3 linked regions of the Macaca fascicularis genome follow. The protein of the gene in region 2 purifies or fractionates together with the protein of the main gene of each other region. This does not show direct contact. Links are inferred from orthologs where the notes say so. Each region holds a gene or a part of one and is shown on either strand. Other genes may lie near its edges. The genes, in order: CDK2AP1, ZNF219 and CHD3.

What was found.
Region 1: the proteins of ZNF219 (region 2) and CDK2AP1 purify together in Homo sapiens (affinity purification with mass spectrometry; 3 studies listed by BioGRID and IntAct, counting the BioPlex papers as one, with this or other methods). This does not show direct contact. The link is inferred for Macaca fascicularis from reciprocal best matches to the Homo sapiens genes ZNF219 and CDK2AP1.
Region 3: the proteins of ZNF219 (region 2) and CHD3 purify together in Homo sapiens (affinity purification with mass spectrometry; 3 studies listed by BioGRID and IntAct, counting the BioPlex papers as one, with this or other methods). This does not show direct contact. The link is inferred for Macaca fascicularis from reciprocal best matches to the Homo sapiens genes ZNF219 and CHD3.

Annotation. Positions count from the first base shown.
Region 1 is NC_088385.1:130,399,924-130,404,733, reverse strand, and holds the start of CDK2AP1 (cyclin-dependent kinase 2-associated protein 1), read left to right. Parts: upstream 1-1,823; 5' UTR 1,824-2,020; coding exon 2,021-2,075; intron 2,076-2,418; exon of another isoform or gene 2,419-2,742; intron 2,743-3,345; exon of another isoform or gene 3,346-3,448; intron 3,449-4,810. UniProt on the Homo sapiens protein: Inhibitor of cyclin-dependent kinase CDK2. Also acts as a component of the histone deacetylase NuRD complex which participates in the remodeling of chromatin.
Region 2 is NC_088381.1:88,762,502-88,767,281, forward strand, and holds the start of ZNF219 (zinc finger protein 219), read right to left. Parts: upstream 3,130-4,780; 5' UTR 2,974-3,129; coding exon 2,792-2,973; intron 2,049-2,791; exon of another isoform or gene 1,915-2,048; coding exon of another isoform or gene 1,799-1,914; intron 1-1,798. UniProt on the Homo sapiens protein: Transcriptional regulator. Recognizes and binds 2 copies of the core DNA sequence motif 5'-GGGGG-3'. Binds to the HMGN1 promoter and may repress HMGN1 expression. Regulates SNCA expression in primary cortical neurons.
Region 3 is NC_088390.1:7,961,881-7,965,926, reverse strand, and holds part of CHD3 (chromodomain-helicase-DNA-binding protein 3), read right to left. Parts: intron 3,933-4,046; coding exon 3,802-3,932; intron 3,563-3,801; coding exon 3,412-3,562; intron 3,263-3,411; coding exon 3,069-3,262; intron 2,747-3,068; coding exon 2,513-2,746; intron 2,325-2,512; coding exon 2,121-2,324; intron 585-2,120; coding exon 373-584; intron 1-372.

The sequences.
Region 1 (4,810 bases), on a different chromosome or scaffold from region 2:
CCTGTAATCTCAGTGCTTTGAGGTAGAGGTGGAGGCAGGAGGATCACTTGAGCCCAATAGTTCGAAGCTACAGTAAGCTGTGATCAAGCCACTGCACTCCAGCCTGGGTGACAGAGGGAGACAATGTGGAAATAGATTGGTTCAGAGTACTCATAGAAGGGACTGGGCCTGCCAGTGAGATCTGGATTCTTGCCCCGAGGAAATGGAGGCCTAGTCAAACAGTCAGTGGGTGGGGGAGTCAGAGTCAGTACCCGGTGTGTATGCCTCAGGAGCCCTCTGCTAGTAGCTGCAGCCCTGCACTGTTCAATATGGTGACCCCTAGCTGTGGTGGCTACTGAGCGCTGAAACGTCGCTACTCTGAATTAAAATGTGCTGTAAGTATAAAACACACACTGGATTGCGAAGACTTAGTATAAGAGAATGTAAAGTGTCTTATTAATAATTCCCTTTAATTCATTATATAGTGAAATCATGCTGTTCTGGAGCTATTGTTAAATAAAACATGTTAAAATCAATTTCACCGGTGTTTTTTTACTTTCTCAAATGTGACTACTGAAAAATTGAAAATTACTTATGTGGCTGGCATGCTATTTCCATTGGACAGTGCTGCTCTAGAGGACTAGGCGCCTGGGACCAGCCACATGGGTGGCATTAATTTATTCATGGAATAAGGTTTCACTGAGCATCCTTCGCTAGTGCTGGTCTACAGCTGATCTCAAGGGTGGGGGTTAAGCTGGGGAGGGGGTGTCGTCGCCTGCACCTTTGGTCCTAAAGGAGAAGGCAGGCCTGGGTGGGCATCCCTAGGTGGGTGCTTTTGTTACCAGATCCGGAGATGATGCTTGCACGGCTGTGTCTAATTAAATCTGCAAACCATGGCGATTAAAAACAACAGAAAAGGGTGGGCATCTTATGTATTTTAACGAGCTTTACTACTTCGGCAGAACTCCAAAATTAAAAAAAAAAAAAAAAAAAAAAAGAAAAAGAAAAAAAAGAGAACAAACCCACAACCTTTAGGTTATTCATCTAATCCAAATCCAAAATACACTCGATGATTACATTTCAATCAGATCCGAAGATGGGCTGGGGGTGGGGTCGAAGGAAGATTTAAATTGCCCCGTAAAACTCCAGGGGGTAGAAACTTTGCCAAGTTCAGTTCTTGTATCCTCAGCGCTTGGAACAGTGAGTGGCGCATAGTAGGTGCTTCCCTTAAATACTGGAGTGAGTCTACGCACGAAATTGTGCGATTCAGGGGTGAGTTTTCCGGGAAGGGGGATGAGGGGTGGAGAAGGCCTCTAGCTTTTGTCAGTCTCACAGGAGTCTTGGATCCCCAAAGGGTTAAAAACCACTTCATAAAGACAGGGACATGAAATTTATTTGAAATCAATGTCAAGCATCAGTTATTCGAATCCTGGGGCTTGGCCAGACCCGGGCGTCTGGAATGATCTACGTGCTTAAATACACCACTCGCCACCATTTTCTCCAGGTAATTTTCCATCCCTGCCCCCACCGTCAAGGGGAAGAAAGTGCTCCTCGGATCCCGGCCGCCCTGGCCTCCTGCAGCTGCCGCGGGGGCGGCCCCCAGTGCACCCCTGGAGCGCCCGGCGCGGGGCGGCCGCCCGGACGCGCGCGGGCCTCAGGCGCCGCCGGGACCCCAGCCCCCCAAACTTTGGCAAGTTGCGGGCGCCGAGCGCACCCGGAGGCGCGGGGCGCGGCCGCAGGCGGAGCCGCCCCCTGACGCCGGGCCGCCCCCTCCCGGCCCCGGCCGCCCCGCCGGCTCCGCGGAAAGTTTGCGGCCGCCCCTGCGCCGCGCCCGGGGCCTGGGTGAGACTGCGGCGGCGGCAGGGCGCGGACGGCCATATTTGCCGGCGCGGCCCGAGCCGCCGACAACAAAAAGTGCGCGGGCGCTCGGCGGGCGCTCGGACGGGCGCGGGGCTGCCACGCTGCCGCCCGGCCTCGCCGCCGCCGCCGCCGCCCTCGCGGCCTGGCCCCGCCGCGCCCGGCGCGCCCGCCGCCCGGGGGGATGTCTTACAAACCGAACTTGGCCGCGCACATGCCCGCCGCCGCCCTCAACGCCGGTGAGTGAGCCGCGTGCGACGCGCCCCGAGCGCCGCCAAGTTGGGGGTCCGCGCGCCCAGCCCCGGCCGGGGGATGCCGTGGGCGCCCGCGGAGGCCGGGGGCGGGGGGCTCAGGGTCCCGGCCCGGGGCAGCGCTGCCGCCGCCATGATTTCCGAGCCCGCGCCGCCAAAGTTCGCTGGTGCGCCCCGCACGCCGAGGGCCTTGGCTGGGGGTGCGGGGCGGGCGGCCTGGGGTGACCCCCGCGCCGGCGGCTGCGGATCGCAGGGAGCGCGGCGGGCGAGGGCGAGGGCGGGGGAGGCTTGTTCTCGTCTCCTTTTTCCTCCCGCTTCTGGGCGGCTCGGCGAGGGCCCCTGCCGGCGGGAGTCGGGAGCGGCCCGGGCCGCGCCGGGAGCGGGGAGCGGGGCGCGGGGCGCGGGGCCCCGCCGCCCTGGGGAGCGGGGTCGTGGAGCGGCCCGGGCGGGAGACGCTGCGGGCAGGGCCAGGCCCCGCGCGGGCCGGCGCGGGCGGAGGGCTGCGGGGCTGCCGCGGGCCCTGAGGTCGTGGGGCCGCCGGGACTGGGACCGGGATGGGGTCGCCGGTGGGCAGCGGACTCGGAGGCCGGGGGGCCTCGGCCGGGCGCGTGGGAGCAGGGACTGCCCCATGCGGTCACGCGGGGATCCCCGTAAGGTGTGCGCGGAGTGAACGAAGTTGGCGCAGTCCTGGGGCTGCTAGGGCCCGCGCGCGGGCGTGGGGGCAGGGGGTCACGCGGACGCCCCATCTGGGAGCCCCCAGGGCTGATCCGGGAAGGCCCTCGATGCAGAAGCCGGGAGGGGCTCCCCTCGACCTTCCTGGGGCTGCGGCGGCAGCCGGGCGCTCCCAGGAAACTCCTCCAGAAGTTGTCAGGCAGCTTCGGGCTGAGCCCAGGGGACCGAGGGAGCCATGGGGAGTGGGCGCAACATTGAGGGATTGGTAGGTGCCGGGCTTTGTGACCTCACTGGGGCCCCTCTTCTCTGACACTTGGTCGGAAACAGACTTCCCAAAAGGCGGTTGTGTTGCGGGGCGTGGGGGGTAAGGACTCGGAGGGAAAGGAGTGGCCCCGTTGGTCACCGGTGCCACGCTGGCTCTCCTGCTCGAGTTTTGGGCCTTGTTTGCAAACGTTGACTTCATAAACCTCCCACATCCGAAGTAGGACCCATAAAAACGATATTTAAAAAAACCTTGGACACTGAGGTGTAGGGGCAGGAAAGGGTTAATCGTCAGGGTGCTGAGGGAGAGTTGAATTGCTCACTTGTGGGCTCGGAGTCCCAAAGAGCAAACAGCCACTGTTTTCTTCTCAAACATTCTCACCTCCTCTGGGGTCCGCAGACCTTACAAAGACGGGCTTTGTTGCCAGGTAGGACTGCCAGCAGCGTTCTTCCTCTGGCCTGTGGGGAGGGCAGGGGCTGGTGTTGCCAGCCTGGGCAAGGCTGACAGCTCAGGCTTGACCTGGTGTCATTGGGGCCGGGGCCTTAAACTGGGACCTTCAGGGTTTGGGGTCACAGGGATAGCGGCACTCACGGGGACCCCTGAAGTCCTGTTCTGAGCTGGCTGCACCTGTATTCAGCTTTTCTTCTCTTTCTCCTGTGGAGAATTTCAGGAGTGCCGAGATCCCCAGATCTGGGCTTTTTGGTGCCCCTCCCTCTCCCCCATGGACCCTTTTGCAGAACCCCAGCTCCCCTCCTGCCATTTGCATCCAAGATGGACTCTCCGCTGCTGCCGCTGCTCCTCCGGCTTCCTTGTCATCATCCCTCACGCCCTGCAGCCCTGCCTCCTGCTCACGGGTTGCCAAGCCGCGGCCTGGCCGGTGGTGGCAGTGGCGGAGTTAGACAAAGCCCCCGCCTCCCCCGCCCCAGAGCCCCCCAGGCGCCCCAAGTGGCGGGAAGGCCGCCAGCTCCCCAGGCCCCGGCGCTCTTTGTCTGGCGTGGGGGCGGGGAGCCGCGCCTGGCCCCAGGAGCTTCCTGGCCTCTGCCAACCCCTCGCTCCTGCACACTGCGCTCATTGTCTGAGATGCGCCGAGACGGCCTGCGCTGACGTGGTCCCTGTGTCCCGGTCCCTGTGTCTGCAGGAAGGAGTGACCATGAGTGGAACTCGGGGCATTTCCGCCATCTCTCTCCAGGACTAGACACCCCCCACCCAACCCTGAACAAGGGACTGGCCTGGACAGAGCATTGGAGTCACCGAGCTATTGCTCCTCGTCCCCCCAGCCAAAATGGGACAATTTCTCATTCCTCCTTCCTCTCAGCCCCGCAAAACCTAACCCCAGTATCATCAAATAGTAGGGTCTGGAGCCTGTAGACCTTCTCTTGGGAAGCACTGCCTCTAACAAATGGAGAAACTGAGGACTGGAGGGCGGGGGGCCTGTCTGAGGTCACACAGCCAGGAGTGGCACAGCTGGGGCTGGCGCCAAGTCCAGTGGGGAGGACAGAAAAGGAGAGGTGAGGAGCAGTGGGCAAAGCAGTTGGGGAAGAGGACGGGGGCACACCGAGTTGATTCGAGGGTGCGTGGGAAGTGGCTAGCGCCCCTCCTGCCAGGCTGCTGGGATCTTGCAAACGCCCAGGGTGCTGTGCTCTATGGTCCCTCCCAGAAACTGGCCCTCGAGGCCAGAGAGGTGTAGCTACCAGGATCGAAACCCAGGTCTCTGCCAGCAGAGCCTGTGTTCCCCATGCCACGCTTGCTGCCACATCAGAAGCTCAGGAAACTGGGGTTTGGCTGATGT
Region 2 (4,780 bases):
GTCCCTTCCTGCTCAAAAAAATTTGTGGTTCTAAGTCATAGAACTCTTTTGGACCCCAGAGAGATGTTAAAACAAATGGTCATCCCTTCAGTACCATGGAGAGTGCAGTGGGCTACCACAGAAGCCACTTGGGCCACCTCAGTACCATAGATAGAGCTATGAGGTGCTAGAGGGGCTCTTTGCCATTTTAGCATCACAGATACAACACAGAAAAGCTAGAGCATTTTTTTTTTTTTCGTTCCTATCTGAAAACCATAGAAAAAAACCCAGTGGTACCAGAGGGATTATTTTGGCCTTTTAGATGTCACTGAAAATAGAAAGAGCTAATAGAAAATAGATGTAACTAGAAGAATTTTAATTAGCTATAAGGAGCATCCTGACAGTTACAGTTTGTACATCCTGGAATGAGTTACTGAGGCATCATATTTGGGTCCATCACATTCTGTTGCTCTCCCGGGGATTCCCGGAACATCCTGGTGTACAGCCAATCTGGTATATTCAGAGGAAGCAGATGGTGGAGGCGGGGGGGCTGGGAATACTGCATGGTCATAGCTGACTAACCTATGGGCACATACTCTCATTCTGAGAAGATTCTAGGGCCCATAAAACTGTCTGTAGGATAGCCAGCAAAATCTCATAGGAAGCTGGCCTCATATCTGAGGCAAAAAGAGTGGGAATAGGGCAAAGCTTCCTATCCCAAAACAAAACAACAATAAACCACTTTGCACATAGCAGTTTCCAGAACAGAAATAGAGTGATATACAAGAAGGCCCAAACTGAAGCTGAATTCCCCAGCAGGGAAAGTTTCCCCAGAATGTGGCCTAAAATCAACAAAACTCACTGAGATACCTTCCTAGGCCCAATCAAGATCTCCTGAATCATCTCCATATCAAACCAGGTTCCAGATACCTGATCCCATGATTTTTTCTCAGTAGGGGAAAGAACTGACAGGGACTGGGATACTATGAACTGCCTTGGAACCGAGGTCATGCATATATTGCCCTGGACAATAATCACAGAGTTTTCTATAGTCAGGCCTTAAACACCATCCCGAGACTTGGCCAGACAGCAGCACTGACCTACTTTCCACCCCCACTGGGAATCAGGGGTTATCTTGCCCTTATTTGGATTCTGTAAGGATGAAGGGCCAGGGATAGGTATCAGAAACCTTTCAAAAGCAACAGGCCAATTATCCTTACATGCTGGGGCAGCTGGTAGGGAAGTGGGTGTGGATCACTAAACCTTACTCAGTAGAGAAGGATGGAATGGTTGGTGAAAAGACTTAGAAACAACAAGGACAGGTACATAGAAGTATTTGCTAAATGGAACACAAAGACTGTCCCTCAAGTCTTGTGATTCAAAAGTTTTTAGGGTCAAAGTGTAAGGAGCAAGGGTTCAGGACTTCTGGGGTCCAGTTGTAACTGCCTCTGGTCACCTCTAACACAACAGTTTTCCCTCTTGAGAATCCTACACCTCCCGAATCTGCTAACAATTATGATTACCACTGCACTAGATGGGGTTAAAAGCAAAGGGAGCTTCTAGGGCGGTCTACAGTCAAGACTACCTTGATCACACACACACACCAGTAGTTCACTTTTATGGTCTCCTCTCCATGGCCCTCTGAACCTCACTGCTCAGATAGCTCCTCCAAACCCACTCCACTCTGCAGCTCGCCAGCCTTTTTAGACTGAGTTCTTGGTAAAGCCTCCTTCCCTGTGTCCTCACTCTCCTGAGTTGGAGACATGGAACCTCAGCCATGGACTCCAAAGGTACAGCAGGAAGCAAGAGGAAGGCACACCTGCTCACCTGCTGCCATCCCACCATGGGGAATCTTATCCCAGAGGCATGTCCTAACGCAACCCCGATTTTGATTTTGAAAGTTCTGGAGGACCTGGGTTTGGGAACGGGGGTCATGTTGACAGCCCTAAGTCCCCTTAAGTAGAGCTGACCCTAGAAAAGTCAGTATTAGCACCCACGTGAGCCTCAGTCCTCAGACTGGGACGTAGGGGTGACCAAGGGAGCCTCTGGGAAAATCCCCCTCCCAGAAATAGATTGCTAAGTAGGGTAGGACCTGCAATCCTGCCCGAGAGGTTTTTCCAGCAGCACCTCAGACCCCTCCCCAGGAAGATAAGCCAGAAGGATGATGGGGGGCAGGGTTGGGAGATAGGGAGGCCAAGGCTCAGCTACCCCCGGCCAGGAGAACAAAAGCTGAGTTACAGCCGCCTCCGCTGCTGCCGCGGGCCGAGCTCTTTGTGACACTTTGTTTGGGACGCAAAGAGGGAAGCACCCCCCATCCTCTCCCCTCCCCCGCCACCCCGTGCTCCCGGAGAGTTTGGGCTCCTTCCCCCTCCCCCACCAGCCCTACCTGGGCCGGGGGTTGAGGGGTGCACATCCACTCAGGCTCGCGGCTCTGCCGCCCCTCACCCCCAGGCCCCTCGCGCCCTGCCTTCGGGCCCCTACAAAGACACCCGCCACCTCCCCCGCCACATCCCCCCCGTTGGCCCTTCCCTTTGGTGTCTGCTCCCCCAGCTCCTCCACCTGGCCCCCCCTTCCTTGGGGCCCCCCAGCTCTCCAGGCTTCCGAGGCCGCCACCCCCACCCCGCCCCCCCAGGAGCTCTGGGCGAAGTTTGCTTGGGGCCGAGCCGGCGCCCCTCCCCCGCCCCCGCCCCCTGCACCTGCTCCGAGCCGGGCGCGCTGAGCGGGCCCCCCCTCCGGGAGGGGGGGAGGGGGCCGGGGGCGGGGGCCGGGTGGCGGACGGGGGGGCCCGGGAGTGGGGGGAGCGGCTACTCACGAGCCCCGGGCGGGCGGCGGCGGAGCGGGCGGCGGCGGCGGCGGCGGCGGCGGGCGGCGGGCCGGCGGCGCGGGCGTCAGCGTTACGTGGGGCCGGGGGAGATGCGCCGGGCCCCGGCCCCCCCGCCCCCGGCCCGGCCCCCGCCCCCTCCCCGGTCCCCCGCCCCCGGCCCTGGCCCGCATTGTGTGCGGCGGGAGGCGGCCCGGCCATTAGCATGCGGGGGGCGGCGCGGCGGGGCTGGGAGCCGCGCGGGAGCCGGGCTCTGGCTCCGGGGACAGGGAGCTGGGGACCCCGGGAGCCGCGAGAGGCGGCCGCCAGGGGCGGGGTGCGGGCGGTTTGGAGACGGGGGGCGCTGTCGGAGGGAGTAAGGGAGGGAGCGGGGGTGGGGCGCACAGAGGATTCCAACAGGAGACTGGAAGAGATTTTGAAAGGTCATCTCGTCCTTCCCCCAGCCTCCAAGCAGCACTGCCCCTCCCTCCCTAAACCCGGACATACCAGGGAAGGAGTTGGCTCTGCCGCTCTTTCTGCCCCAACATGCACAGACTCGGGAAGTTCTTCCTGGGGTTTTATCTCAAAGCCTCTCCCTTACAATTTCTGTCTCTCTTTTGGGGGAGGAGGAGGGGCGATTATAGAGATAGTTAATGTCGGCCGTATAAGAAACATTATTAAAGTTACTCTTCGGTCCTTTCCGTTCTTGATAAACAATTCCTGCTCCTTCCTCTCGAATTCTATTTTCCATCCCTCAAGTCACTTTAATGGCTCTTCAATACAACAAATATTTACTGAGTGCTTACTAAGTGCCAGGCACTGGGCTCAGCGCTGTGAGGGATGAGAGAGAAGTGGTACCTTCCTTCCAGGCGATTGTAGTCTAGACTACAAACTAGTAAGTAGTATACTCAGATTTATTCAATATTTACTGAATGCCTGTTCACCTATCTAATAGTTTATAATCTTTCCAATAACCCTCTATAATAAAATTAGTCCCCATTTACAAGTAAGAAAAATGAGGCTTCAGGAAGTCTCTTTCCCCAATGGCCTGCAGGCTCAGGGATCCTCAGTGCAAGCCCAACATCTCACATCGCCACCAAATAAAATCAATGCACATGGGAATTGAGGAGGAGTAGATACACAACAGTTTTCTGGATCTCTTTAAAACGTGACTCCCACTCCCCGGGAAAGAAAAAAGTAGATACAGTGCCCCGCCGATGTTGGCACAGCACTGATGGGGCAGGAGTGGCTTACAAAAGATCACTTGCCTCCCAGGACCGTGCCTCCTCTACTAACTTCTAGAGTCTTCTGGCGCAGTCTCCTCTTACCGTCAACAACAAGAAGTAATAGTGATGATGATCATAGCCACTAACATTGAGCACTTGTGTGCCAGATACTGGGCTAAGCTCTCTTCCATGCTGAAAGCAACCCCTTGAGACTGGTATTATTAACTTCCTTTTATAGATAAGGGAACAGAGAGATTAAGCAACTTGCCAAGGGCACCCAGGTAGACCTGGGATTTGTTTTGATCTATAGACTATATTTGGGCCCAGCTGGTTGTGCTTCTGACTGTAGAAATGTGTCCCCAGCTCACCTGCTGAATAACACCTTTAGTGTATGGGCATCAGGCTCATCAGTTTGACCTCATCAGCACCACTAATAGTAAGCACCCACCCTGAATCAACAACTCTTCATAGTCATATTGTTAGCCCCCTTTTATCAGTGAACAAACTGAGGTTCGAATAGGTAGAAAAACGTATCTATCAGGACACACACAGTGGCTCACACCTGTAATCCCAGCAGTTTGGGAGGCCAAGGAGGGGAGATCACTTGAGCCCAGGAGTTTGAGACCAGCTTAGGCAACACTGTGAGACCCTGTCTCTACAAAAAATTTAAAAATTAGCCAGACATGGTGGCATGTGCCTGTGATCCCAGCTACTTGAGAGGCTGAGGCAGGATGATTATTTGAGCCCAGAATGTGTAGGCTACAGTGAGCCATGA
Region 3 (4,046 bases), on a different chromosome or scaffold from region 2:
AAGACAGCATTGAAATAACTAAATAAATACCGTAACTTTAGGCAGTAATAAGTACCATGAAGAAGAAATATTCAGAACACTGGTCTGGATGAATTATGTCTCTCATGTTTTGCTTTCATGCCCTCATCCCCAGACTCATGTGCTATGTCTTATGCCACTGGAGATGACAAAAGAGGCACTGCCTGGCCGAACTTTCCTCCTGTTTTCTCCCATTCCCCTGGAGGAAACAAGGCCAGAAAGGCTGAAGCTACAGCAGAGGTTATCAAGGTTAGATCAATTACCTGGTTAATCAGCAAATACTAACATGAGGCTATCACCATGGTAAGAATAGTGTCATATACCAGGTCTTACTTCCCAGGGCCAAGGATTCACCTGTGGTTGATGATACGGTGGACAGTCATCCACTCTGGCTTGATGCCAAAACGATAGTACTTCTCCTCCATCTCAGCATAGTGTGGGTCTTTCACTTTACGCTTGTCACTCTTCCCATCATCCTCGCCGGAGCCATAGTCCAGGGGCGGGGGCTCATCCATGTCATTCTTCCGCTGGTAGTTTCGGTACATAACCAAATGGAAGATTTCCAGCTGATAGGGCACAGAAAAACGAGGAAGAGACAGGCCTGACACTCACAGAGGACAACAGGGAACGGGGAAGAGGCCAGCAGGAGGAATGGGACAGGGAAAGAGAGCTATGAAAAAGGATAGATTGGCTGGGCGCGGTGGTTCATGCCTGTAATCCCAGCACTTTGGGAGGCTCAGGGGTGCGGATCACCTGAAGTCAGGAGTTCAAGACCAGCCTGGTCAACATGGAGAAACCCTATCTCTACTAAAAATACATAAATTAGCCAGGTGTGGTGGCACATGCCTGTAATCCCAGATATTCAGGAGGCTGAGGCAGGAGAATCTCTTGAACCCATGAGGTGGAGGCTGTAGTGAGCCAAGGTCGCGCCACTGCACTCTAGCCTGGGCAATAAGAGAATAACAGGCGCGTCCCAGCACTTTGGAAGGTTGAGGCAGGTGGATCACCTGAGGCTGGGAGTTCGAGATCAGCCTGATCAACATGGAGAAACCCCATCTCTACTAAAAATACAAAATTAGCCGGGCGTGGTGGCGGGCGCCTGTAATCCCAGCTACTTGGGAGGCTGAGGCAGGAGAATCGCTTGAACCCGGGAGGCAGAGGTTGCAGTGAGCCAAGATCGTGCCACTGCACTCCAGCCTGGGCAACAAGAGCAAAACTCCATCTCAAAAAAAAAGAAAAGAAAAAAGAAAGGAAGAAAAAGGATGGATTAGAGACAAATGAGTCAAAGTCAAAACAGGAGAATAAATAAAATGAAACAGATGCAACAGTTTCAGAAGACACGGCCTGGGTGGGGCTGTTATGAGCAAAAGGAGATAGGGAATGGGGTTATAAACATTGAGATTTTTTTTTTTTTGAGATGGAGTCTCGCCCTGTAGCCCAGGCTGAAGTGCAGGGGCACGATCTTGGCTCACTGCAAGCTCCGCCTCCCGGGTTCACACCATTCTCCTGCCTCAGCCTCCCGAGTAGCTGGGATTACAGGCGCCCACCACCATGCCTGGCTAAATGTTTTGTGTTTTTAGTAGAGACGGGGTTTCACTGTGTTAGCCAGGACGGTCTCGATCTCCTGACTTCAGGTGATCCGCCTCCCTCGGCCTCCCAAAGTGCTGGGATTATAGGCGTGAGCCACCGCACCCAGCCGATAATTTTGTTTTTTTAAATAGAGATAGGGTTTCACTATGTTGCCTAGGCTGGTCTCAAGCAATCATCCTCCCCTGGCCTCCCAAAGTGCTAAGATTATAGGTGTGAGCCACTATGCCCAGCCAGGAATATTATAAAACATGGAAAAAGATAGATAAGGAAGGACGTGAAGTTAAGAAAGGCTATGCTATATCTGAGGGAAGAAAGCTAATGGAGACTGAGAGAAAGAGGACTGTAGACCAAAAGAACCACAGATGGAAACTAAGCAAGTAGGGTATAAAGGCCAGAGGCCTGAAACGAGAGAAAATGAAGGGTATGGGAACCCAGCAAACAGAGGAGTAAGAGAGGGAGAGGATGGCAGGAAATGAGGTCATGGGGGAGAGGGAAAGCAAAGGTCCTAGTACCTGAAGCTCCTTGGCCCAGGAGCAGTGCCAGTAGGATAGTCCCACCCACTTGACAAAGAACTCTCGCTCTGATCTGCCTTGAAGAGGACGCGGGGCTGGGACATCTGGATTCCCGTCTGCCTGTTGAGGGGCTGGCATTGCTACAGGCGGCTCCCCCCACCGCCAATGCAAGATCTTCTGCACTCGACCCTTCAGCACAGGGCACTTTGGGATGGACATGTACAAGGAGAAGGAAAAAAAAGAGGCAGACAGAACCCATCGTTAGATGACAGGATAGGGGTCCCACAGAGTGGGGGAGTGCAGAGAAAGGAAAAGCTGGACATGTGGGCCCCAGGGATGGGGGAAGGGATCAGGCCCGACAGTAAATACAGAGGGGAGATGTTTCCACTCACTGTGCATCGGGGACACAGCCATTCACCATTGGGAATGTCAGGCAGGGGAGGGTTTAGACAATGAATGTGGTAGGAAGAGATGCACGCGTCACAGCACAGCAGCTCCCCGCCGTCCTTGCACACGCGGCAGTACTCCATGTGATCATCCTCCTCCTCCTTCTCCCCTTCCTCCTCTCCCTCCTCTTCGTATTCCTCCTCTTCCTCTTTGGCCTCCCACTGGACCCCCTCCTTCTCCTAGGGGGCCAAGGACAGACACACAGACAGATGGCAGAAGTTAAGGAATGAAACTGGAAGATACAGGCAAAGACAGGACACCTGAATCCTAGAAGTGCAGAGAAGACTGGTGGGAACTAAAGAAAAGGACACTCCAGTTTCAGAAATGCTGATTCTGGGAGCAAAGGTGTGGGAGAAAGGAATACATTAGGATCCTAGACACTTGGACATCTGTTACTAAGAAGTCCAGCCATCTGGGGGTAGGAAGAGGGTAAGTGAAACCAAGGGGGAAAGAGATGGGTGGGTTCCTCAGGGTCATCAGATGCTGGCATTAGGTACTCACACAGTGAGGGCAGCTCCATTTGCCCTCGGGAGCCCGGTCAAGCTCAGGATCAAGGCAGACGAGGTGGTAGGCACGAGGGCAGGTGTCACACAGAATAATTTCCCCACCCTGCTGGCACACCTCACAGTAATCCTGGTGATCCGTCTCGTAGCCATCAACCTCCTCCTCCCCGGCCACTGCAGGACAGCCCAGGACTGTCATATACCCCGGTGGAGGGATAAGGAAGTGGGGCAGGGGGAGATGGAGAGAGAGAGGGAGAAGGGTTGAAGAGAGAAGTCAAAATTGAAAATAAGAATGAGAGGATGGCCCACTGACAGGATCACACGCAGTCAACACTCCTTACCCTTCTTCTTCTTCCTTCCTGGCCGGCCTCTCTTTAGTTTCTTGGTGCGGACAGGGCCATCAGGCCGGCCTGAGGCACTGTGGACACTGCCACTGTCCAGGTCTGACTCCTCAGCCTCTGGTTCAGGACCTTCGTCACTCTGAAAAACATACTGCCCATAGCCCCATGGCCGTCAGTGAGGCAGACTTCATTCCACGCCCTCCCCAGGCCTTTGGCTTCCTGCTCCGTCGTCCCTCACAGATCCGTCTCTGGATCCTTGTCCGTCACGGATCCCTGTCTCTGGATCCTTGGCCCTCACAGATCCCTGTCTCTGGATCCTTGGCCCTCACGGATCCCTGTCTCTGGATCCTTGGCCCCCAGGTGTTTAGCAGACAGGGATGGGTCACTCACCGAGCCTCCTTTCTTCCTCTTGCCACCCAGCAGCCCTAGTTTTATTTTGAGCGGTGCCATTTTCTTTCCCCGAAGCTTCTTGCGTCCATCAGGCACTCGGGGGCTCTTACTCCGTCTCTTATGGCCTGGACCTGAATGAGGAGTTGGGTGAGAAGAGGAAAAAGGAGAGGTCATGACATCCTGGAATAATGGAGGTCACAGGAGCCTCTGGACTCCTCTGTGGGCTGTGGTTTCACTAAGCCCCA